Linked DNA regions of Tribolium castaneum. The protein of the gene in region 3 interacts with the protein of the main gene of each other region in a pairwise test. Links are inferred from orthologs where the notes say so. Each region holds a gene or a part of one and is shown on either strand. Other genes may lie near its edges. The genes, in order: Prosbeta6, proteasome subunit alpha type-1 and eIF2Balpha.

The links.
Region 1: the proteins of eIF2Balpha (region 3) and Prosbeta6 interact in a two-hybrid assay, tested with the Caenorhabditis elegans proteins (2 studies listed by BioGRID). The link is inferred for Tribolium castaneum from reciprocal best matches to the Caenorhabditis elegans genes eif-2Balpha and pbs-6.
Region 2: the proteins of eIF2Balpha (region 3) and proteasome subunit alpha type-1 interact in a two-hybrid assay, tested with the Caenorhabditis elegans proteins (4 studies listed by BioGRID). The link is inferred for Tribolium castaneum from reciprocal best matches to the Caenorhabditis elegans genes eif-2Balpha and pas-6.

The regions. Positions count from the first base shown.
Region 1 is NC_087394.1:25,341,564-25,344,362, forward strand, and holds Prosbeta6 (proteasome subunit beta type-1), read right to left. Parts: upstream 1,417-2,799; 5' UTR 1,293-1,416; coding exon 1,198-1,292; intron 1,152-1,197; coding exon 539-1,151; 3' UTR 501-538; downstream 1-500. UniProt on the Caenorhabditis elegans protein: Non-catalytic component of the proteasome, a multicatalytic proteinase complex which is characterized by its ability to cleave peptides with Arg, Phe, Tyr, Leu, and Glu adjacent to the leaving group at neutral or slightly basic pH.
Region 2 is NC_087394.1:35,801,550-35,804,684, reverse strand, and holds proteasome subunit alpha type-1, read left to right. Parts: upstream 1-1,494; 5' UTR 1,495-1,603; coding exon 1,604-2,437; 3' UTR 2,438-2,608; downstream 2,609-3,135. UniProt on the Caenorhabditis elegans protein: The proteasome is a multicatalytic proteinase complex which is characterized by its ability to cleave peptides with Arg, Phe, Tyr, Leu, and Glu adjacent to the leaving group at neutral or slightly basic pH.
Region 3 is NC_087400.1:176,666-180,143, forward strand, and holds eIF2Balpha (translation initiation factor eIF2B subunit alpha), read right to left. Parts: upstream 2,105-3,478; 5' UTR 1,953-2,104; coding exon 1,940-1,952; intron 1,874-1,939; coding exon 1,772-1,873; intron 1,727-1,771; coding exon 1,587-1,726; intron 1,541-1,586; coding exon 1,424-1,540; intron 1,378-1,423; coding exon 1,265-1,377; intron 1,220-1,264; coding exon 1,075-1,219; intron 1,027-1,074; coding exon 901-1,026; intron 856-900; coding exon 697-855; 3' UTR 637-696; downstream 1-636. Other genes in the region: tyrosine-protein kinase Fer, read left to right, coding at 1-25, 73-350.

The DNA.
Region 1 (2,799 bases), on a different chromosome or scaffold from region 3:
CAAGTTACTTTAGACATTATGGTCATTTTGAGACTTATTTTTCATTAAAACCCAATTTAATGTATTCCCCGCTTATTGTGCCTTTATTGCAAACTCGAAAAATGCCCTTTAGTCAAAACTCTACGTGGAAACGCAGGGGCCTTTGCAGTTCGTATCATTATCGTGTTATTTTAAAGTATATAAAAATTCAACATTTTTTTAAATCTATACTGTAGTGTAAATATTTTCAAACTGATTTAGGTCTACCGAAAAATCAATAGGTCTGGCAACACTAGTTAGGTGGTAATAACCATGGCAACCAATTGTTGACTAACAGATGGCGCCACGTTAAGCCGTGTCCCTCATTGATCAAGGAAGCCGTGGTTCAATCATCACGTCAAAGTAATAATTCGAATGTTTAGATATTTGAGTGTGACCTATTTGTTATAATTTTTTTAGATTATTGTATGTGGTAGAATTAGAATTCCTTTACCGAAATATTTGTTAAATAAAACAATCAATACCAAACACTGATTTATTAAGCAAAAAAAACACCAATTTAATCTTTCCTCAATTGAAAACTATCTTCCTTAATACCATCCTTGGTGATGATGTTAATCAAAATGCTATCCCCTGTGAAAATATCTCTCTCAGCGGCTGAAATAAAAACGTCTTTGATGATGGCAGCTGCTCTCTCCAACGTTAATTTAGAATCCTTGACGTTTTGCATATTTTTCAAGCCAATTTGATTGTCCAAAAGCGGTTGTAGGAGGGCCCCCGCGGAGCCCCCAGCCCTATACGTGGTTTTCTCGCAATGTCCAATCGGATCGTAGCTATAAATGCACCCTTTCCCTTCATTATCCAATCCAACGAGAATATTAGAAATGTAGTATGGGAAAAACCGCTTGTAGTACAACATGGTTGATAGCATTTGGGCACAAGCCGGTGTGGCCATGGTTTTATTATGCTCCTGTTGGTACATTTGCATGCGAGCGCTCAAAATGCGGGTCAGGGTGAGAGTGTCGCACCAACAACCCGAACATCCCAGTACTGTAGTGTCCGATAAACGGAACAATTTATTCTGGTCACGGGTGTAAATTGAAAAACCGGCACTGAGACGGGTGTCAGCGCCTATTACCACGAAATCGTCGCCGGCGATTGCAACCACACTCCTACAAAAGGGGCTGTAGGGAGGGGTTTAATGTGAGGAATGCTTACCCTCCGTTGTCGGCATAGGGGCTGAAGTGGTGCTGTGTGGGGGCTGTAGCATAGTCGGGGTAATTGGGGCGGTTTTCGGAGTGTAATAAAGCCATTTCGTATTAACACTTACTCGAATTGAATGACAACACAAAATAAGATGTCAGATGTCAAATATGGAAGCGACCGAAATCGTACACGGTTGAATCGTTACAAAACCAACAAATTATACTTAAATAAATCACAATCATCAAAATTTTAGTCGTAAACGTGTTTCTTACAAAAAAGGCTATTTTTTACTACTTTTCAGACCAGGCATGGAGTAAAGAATGTGCGTCGGCTCGAATTTGGTATTTGTATAAATGGTTGCCTATAATAAATATTTTAAAAATAACATGCAGCGCCAAATTTTTTTAGTTTAGGTACACCGCCGAACTTACGATAAATATGTGAAAAAAAAACATAATTAAACGTATAACGACTAATTTATTACACTTATAAATATTTGTATTACACGATTATTTAAAAATTAAACCAAAAATTACTCTTTTGATTAAAGATTTATTTTTAATGGGGTTGAAATTAACAACATTTATTACATTAACTTTATTACATTTACCTTAAAACTTAAAAAACATTTGGTACAGATATGACAATTTAAAAACTAAATTAAAGCTAACCTTTTAAATTAAAGACTTATTATTTAATGTGGATGATATTAATTTATCTTAATTAAAACTTAAAAAAATTGACTCCGATACGATAATTTTAATACTAAACCAGTTACCTTTTCTTACAATAAAAATTTATTTGATGAGGATGAAATTAACAACAGAGATGAAAAAATCATAAAAAAACTAAAAAATAATTTATTTATTTTTATTTTTCTATTTTCTAAATTATTTTGGTCTAAGCCTGTGTAAAATGATCCTGGAAATCAATCGACGTCAAGAAAATCACCAAACTTCCAATAGCTTTTTACTTATGATTTTTTTTATTTTTTCTATTTTTGCTTTTATTCGCAATTTTCTTCGAAAACTCTTAGCCGGAGAACAATATCATCTTTTTTTGAAAAATATAGATAAAAGAGCTTTCTAACGATAATAAATTAGACCATATGGTTATCTCAAATAGTTCCGGTGTTACTGCTTGATTAATGTTCCGGGTACCGAAAATCGAGAAAATTTCGCAAAAATTAAAAAACTCAAACTTTAAGAACCTATTGACATTTTTTATACTTTTAACAACCCGAGTGAGTTATAAAGGCATAGAAAAGTCCATAAGCTTTCCTAGAGTGAGTTTAAAAAAATAATAAATTTTTAAGCAAAAAAAATCAAAATTTGAATTCTCGTGAAAAACTGATACGTAGTATGAGCCGCAAAATTTACTGGAACAAACCATTTTACTCTACGACTTTTTGTTTTTGATTTTTGAAAAACTTTAAATGTCTCTAAAAAAATCATTTGTTGTTCAGTTAAATATTCCTTTGGCAAACTTAACTATCAATTTCAAACGGTTCAACATTGCTAATAGATTTTTTCACAGTATTTTATGGTTCCCGATATTATTTATAAATTTATCATCCCAATATTGAAATAAATACTGACATATCAAAATAGATGT
Region 2 (3,135 bases), on a different chromosome or scaffold from region 3:
TATTCCAAAATTGTTAATTAAAATGCTCCATAAAAATTTACAGGTTACTGTAAACCATTGTTTTAAAAATATGTACATAGATGGCATAATTTTTTATAGTTTCCTGTAAAATTAAATTTATGTATTCGACACCTAGATGTCACTGTCTTAGGAGAGGTAATGACATCCACGGTATAGAGACAGACAGGTAAACCAACTCGCTATTATAATTGATTCTAACGCTGGAGCAAGTTGATAGATGGCAGCACGGTAGACTGGGACTGTCACAATTTCAGAAATTTTCTTTGTTTTTTATAAAAAAATGATGCGAAATTAAAAAATGTTATCTCAGCACCCAAGTTAGTCATCTTGTAACAACTTCTGCTTTTTTCGCGCTGAAATAATAATATTTTCCGAATAGTTCTAAACTTCGGTTCGATGCATTTTCGGCCGCGAAAGACATCGAAACATTGAAGTCAGAATAAATGCTTTCCAGAAAAAAAACTCCACTACCATTCGGTACGGGCATCCTTCAGGTATTAATTGTTCTTCATAAATGTCGTATTTTTAACAACGTGATGCGTGTATCTTTTTTCTTGTAAACATTGTGACAGTCCCAGTCTACGCTGGTGCCATCTGTCAGATAAAATAAAAGCTCCAACTTGCTCCACATTTTGGTTTGCGCCCGACAATGGAAAATAAGGGAAGTTGGTTCACCAGGACTATCTATACATGGTGATGACATCTAATTACTGAATATTAGAGTACTATTTTTATAGGTACCTATAAAATTTTATGTGTCATCTTTGCATGCTCCTGTAAAACAGCGAATTACAGTAACCTGTAAATTTTTTAAGACCATTTACAATTGTATACTTTTAAATAATTATTCGAAAATTTCAAAATTGATTTTGGACCAGGACCGCAGGAGTGCAAAGAGGTAAAAAATATAAAAACCTCTTTGTTTTCTTGTGATCCTAATACACATTAAAGTTTTAAAATGGATTTTGTACCTGGATCAAAAAAGTTAAAATTTCTAAAAATCTTGTTGCGTTCCTGTGACCTTAATACCTACACATTTTACTTTAAAATAACAACAAACTTTTACTAAACTGTTTCTACAAAAAAATGCTAAGGCTAGGCAATTTGGATGCACAATACACACAAGTGTATAGCTGGTTGCAGACAAATCTTTAAATTATTGGTACCACGATTACAAGAACGCAAAAAGGTACTAAAGTTTAAAAATGTCCTTGCGTTTGTATGACCCTAATACTAATTAACTATGGTAAATTTTTAAACTTAAAATAAAGAATTCTATCAAGCGCAGACTGGCTAACCATCAGTAGAAAATGTTACAGTTTCCTATGCTTATAAGAAATTTAGTTCTACAACTTTTACATTTGTATAATAATAATTAATATAATTAACTAAGATATTCATCAAAACCTGCAGCTTTTCTAGCGTAAAAATATTTTTCTTAGCCTTTCTTTACAGAGACCTTTTTATCGAAACTGTCAAAAACGTATGTCTTATTCTGTCAAAAATATCCGCAAGTGACACAGCAGCATTACATGGTTATAAAAACAAAACCGGTAAAGTTCAGTAAAAATCAGTGTTAGAAATGTTTCGCAACCAATACGACAGCGACGTGACCGTCTGGAGCCCCCAGGGCCGCCTCCACCAGGTGGAGTACGCCATGGAGGCCGTAAATTTGGGCTCCGCCACCGTGGGTCTCAAAAGCAAGACTCACGCCGTTCTCATCGCCCTCAAAAGAGCCTCGTCTGAACTATCAGCCTACCAGAAGAAAATCATCAACATCGACGACCACATCGGAATCACCATCTCAGGCCTCACAGCCGACGCCAGAATCCTGAGCCGTTACATGCGGACTGAATGCCTCAATTACAAGTATTCGCACGACACCCACTTGCCCCTAAACCGCCTCATCAGCCAGCTGGGAAACAAGATGCAGTTGTGCACTCAGAGGTACGACCGCAGGCCCTACGGCGTGGGGCTCCTTGTGGCGGGTTATGACGACCAGGGGGCCCACATTTACCAGACCTGCCCCTCTGCCAATTACTACGACTGTAAGGCAATGTCAATTGGGGCGCGTTCGCAGAGCGCTAGGACTTACCTGGAGAAGCACTTGGAGGAATTGTCTTCGTGTTCTCTTGAAGAGCTGATTAAACACGGCTTGAGGGCTCTTAGGGACACTTTGCCCCCTGAAGTCGACTTAACCATTAAAAACGTTTCCATCGGTTACGTTGGCAAGGGACAAAGCTTCAAGATTTTGGTCGATGATGAAACTGGGCCTTACTTGGCTATGATTCAGGGTGAGGAGAGGAGAGGGGGTGGGGCTCAAGAGCCCCCAGCAGGGCCTCTCAGAGATGAGGCGGGGGACCAAGACCAGGGCCCCAGGGATCCGGTTCCAGCTGTAGCAATGGATACGGAATAAGGATAATGGGGCCTTTTCATTTTTCGTTAATCAGTTGTGTTTTACCTCTGAGAAATTGGATTGGTTTTGTGCCGTGGCTGTCGTAAGTGAGGCAGCCACGGCACAGGATCACTAAATATTACTAAACTGTATTCTTTTATTAAATAATCAATAAACGAAGTAATTTGTAAATCGTTGTTTATTTTTTCACCCTAAATGTACAAAGTACGTAAAGCGAAAGTGCTGTGAGAATTTCCTTGACGTATATCTCGCATAGCTTGCTATATTTAAAGAAATTTCAATGTAATGTTACAGCAGAACCTTGATTAGCCGAGTAAAATCAAACTTTTTACTTTTGATTATCCGGTTTAAGGCGGATAACCAACATTGTTTAAAAAATATTTTAACTTAAAATACTTTGACACTTTAAAATTTATTAAACACCTTAGGCGACAGTGGACTTTAAAAATTTTTAATTTCGCAATTGCATATTGAAGTTACTGTTCCAAGACACGTTTATTAGATTTTCACAGCATTTTGTAATGTAGACAGGGTGAGTCTATTACAAGTGTATTTTTTACTAAACCTCAAAAACTAATTATCGCACTGAATTCAGCGTTTGCTATTAAATACTCTATATTTCCCTCTAAGGCTGAATTTTTTCAGAATTTTTCTACAATTTCTTATAATTAAAATTAATTAACTACTCTTAAGTAGTT
Region 3 (3,478 bases):
ACGGCCCCTGAAGCACTCAATTTCGGTAATTCCCCCAATTTTACAAAGTCGCAGTCACATTTCCACTTTTAGGCAAATACACGTCGCTTTGCGACGTCTGGAGTTACGGTATTCTCTGTTGGGAGATTTTCTCACGTGGGGGAACCCCCTACAGTGGTTTGAGCAACTCAAAAGCGCGGGAAAAAATCGACGCCGGTTATCGAATGCCGGCACCTGATAACACACCCGACGAAATGTACCGTTTAATGCTGAGATGTTGGGAATATAAGCCGGAAAATAGGCCCAATTTTGAGCAAATTTATACAGTTGTGGAAACACTATGTGCCGCCTATAGAGTGTCATTCCTGTGATCAGAGATTGCCAATATCAAGTGTGCTATAATTACTGTGATTGTGACGTTGATAAACATTTTATAACTTGTATTTTATTGTAAAAAGTTTGACTGACTTTTGAATAAACGTTTTATTTAAATGGCGCGCTATCTTATCACCGTGGAAAGGCGCCCAGGGGCGACCAACCTTAACCACAAACCCGGTTTTTTCAATTGGAAAATAATTGAATGAGGTGCCTGTAGTTAGCGTGACTCTAGTGCCAAAAAACTTTTAGATTTTGTTACAGGTAATAATTTAAAATCAATAAATTTTAAAAAATTTGGTGGGGTAACCTTAGCCACAAACTGTCAATTTATTAAATTTATTACAAGTACAATTTGATTAATTCGTCGCTGACGGCGCTCGGAGTCAAAATCCCCAAATCGGTGAACAATAGAGTGATGTAAAACGGGGGCGTGTAATCCACTAAGGGATGAATTTTCTTAAAATCCCTCTCATCAAGTTGACGCGCACTTGCAGAGTACTGTAATACCAACACTTAACCCTAATTATTTTTACGCCTTCCTACCTTATACTCCGGCGGTAAATCCCCCTGATTTAGTGGAAACAGGCGCGAAAATTTAAAACTCTCCGTCAGAACATAGAAGGGTTTTTTCATTTCTTTAGCACAAACGGCCATAGTGTAACTACCAACCTTACAAAACGAAATTAACCAAAATCAAACCAATAGTGTTATTTTTACTTTATTAACAATCCCCCCACTTTCCACAACCCCCTCGGCCCCCACCATGACAAAATCAACCTGTTCCATCACATAACCAATCGCAGAGTCGAGAATCAACGTACAGGGGATTCCCACACTAGTCAGATTTTTGCACATGACGTCCCTGCAACGTGACGTCAAGCCAAATCGTACAAAATCGGGGATTTACCCGCTGTTATCAGGCGCGGATTTCGTGACGTAAACCTCGAATTGTTTGCCTTGACGTGACGCCTCAATCAAAGTTTGAAGCACGACACGTGACCGTGAATGTGTGAGGACTTTCTACAAAAAAATGGGGGGTTTACACACCCACGACCTTGAAACTTACAGAACCGTCAGCTATGAATTTTGTGGCCAGTTTCACGATTTTGGCACGGCATTGTTTCAATCTGTTTAGGAAAATGTTGCCACGTTCGAGCATAACGTTACGACATTGCTCAAAACTCTAAAATTTCATTTACTTGGGTGATAATTAAATTTTTTTCTATTACATTGTAGTCAAGTTTTGCCAACGTTATGAAGCGCATAAAAAGTTCGCAACCGGAATTTATCGCGGTGACGGGATAGTCGGACGTTTTTATTGCCAAAATGCCCAGTTTTAGGTTCTCGTCAAGGCCCTGAACCGTATTGTCTGAAAAGTGAGGTTAGGTTTTTGTGGCGTTTTATTTATTTTAACCTTGATATTTTTCGATGATTTTCATGAGGGTCATTATCGCAACAACCCCCACCGACAGGTCCTCATTTTCGGCGATTGTTTTGTCGAAAAAGGCCTTAACTTCTAAAAAAAGGGCCACATATGTGACTTGAAAACGCCCAAAACTTTGCAAAAGTGTAACATTCGTACCTTGCTTATCCATTATTATGTAAATAACGTGGCCTTAAAGCCAAATTATTGTCACAATTGTGTTTATTTTCAAAATTAAACAATTGACTTAACCTCCCTTTTCGCTTGACTGGTCACTGCCTTACCGACGTGGTCTTGGCAGTGGTTAGAGTCACGCCCGCCGTGTCTTACACCACCAAAATAAAAACAATGTGTGTGTTTGATTTATTGGGTCTTTGTTTATACACTTAGTATAACGTTTGGTTTAAAAAAACATGCCCGAATTAAATTATGGGGGTCGTTTTAAATTCGCTTGTAGATGTCGCTTTAGCAACATTTTTCGGCCAACCAATCCGCGGGCTTCATTCCGGTCACGTGTCATTACCAGACCAACTTTATCAATTGTGTAGTTGATGTGGATTGCCCTGTCATCGTTCAGTTTTTTTTGGATTATTTTGGCCTAAAATTACCTTTATGTGAGTATAAAGCCCTCTTTGCATGTCTTTGTGCCCCCTTGTTATGAAATTGGGGCCCTGGGAGCCCCCTTTTGGCCGAAATTTGCGCAATATGTTGGGCCAAGTTCGATAATTGTCTGTCGCCATTTTCCTTAGTACAGTTACTTTCTGCTTCATTGTTAGTAGGCGATGGGCCCCCTTGAGACTGCACCACCGCTAAAAGGGGGCTGTATGGGGCGGTTTTCCCCCATTTTTAAGCCCGTATCGTGCGATTAATTATGATTGACGTGGATATTTTTATTTTTGTTGGGGGATTTTTGGCACGTTCTCAATTTCCGGAGTAAACAAATGAATTTGATCGATTTTTTTTTCGGTTGGTAGCCTTGACGCGCTTTCGAAAAACCTTGAGATTTTGGCAAAAACTGCGCTTTCGCTAATTAACGACATGTCAAAATCACGTGACTTGCATACAAGCCTACTATGACTCAAAAAAAATAATTTTTTTTTTCAGGTGTGAACACCACCAACTTTCTTCGCATCATCTAGTATGGTGAGTGTTTGAATGATATTTTTGGGGGGCGGCAAGACCGCCCCCCGATCGATAAGCGTCGCGTCTCATCCCCTTTAAAACGGTGGCGGCGGCGAGAGTGAAACCGCCTCCACCGCCGCCGTTATCGATTCAAATACGGTCCTGTATTATCGATTTGGGTCCGGTCCTGTGAATAATTGGGCCGCAAGGTCGAATTATGCACCCCTTTATAAATAGGGGAAGATGGGGTTTTCGAGGTCAATGAACGCGTGTGCTAGGGGAGCGGGGGTAAATTTGGACGCGTCGTCGAAGGTTAAAGTCAAAGTTCGTCGCCACCAAAAAAATAATAACGAAAATGCGTTTTAATGCATGCACGTGTTAATGTAAATAATAAATATTTTTGTTTTTTTTGCTGGTTTTTCGCATTGGACGGTTGTCAAAATGTGGAGGCGGAGTTTGGTTGGTCACGTGTTGATTGAATTTAAACTAGTGGGTGGGGCTTATTTAAATTCGTACTTTTTATAAAAAATGGGCCATGACTTGTGTTTTTTATTTCTACGAACTAGTCGTTTACAT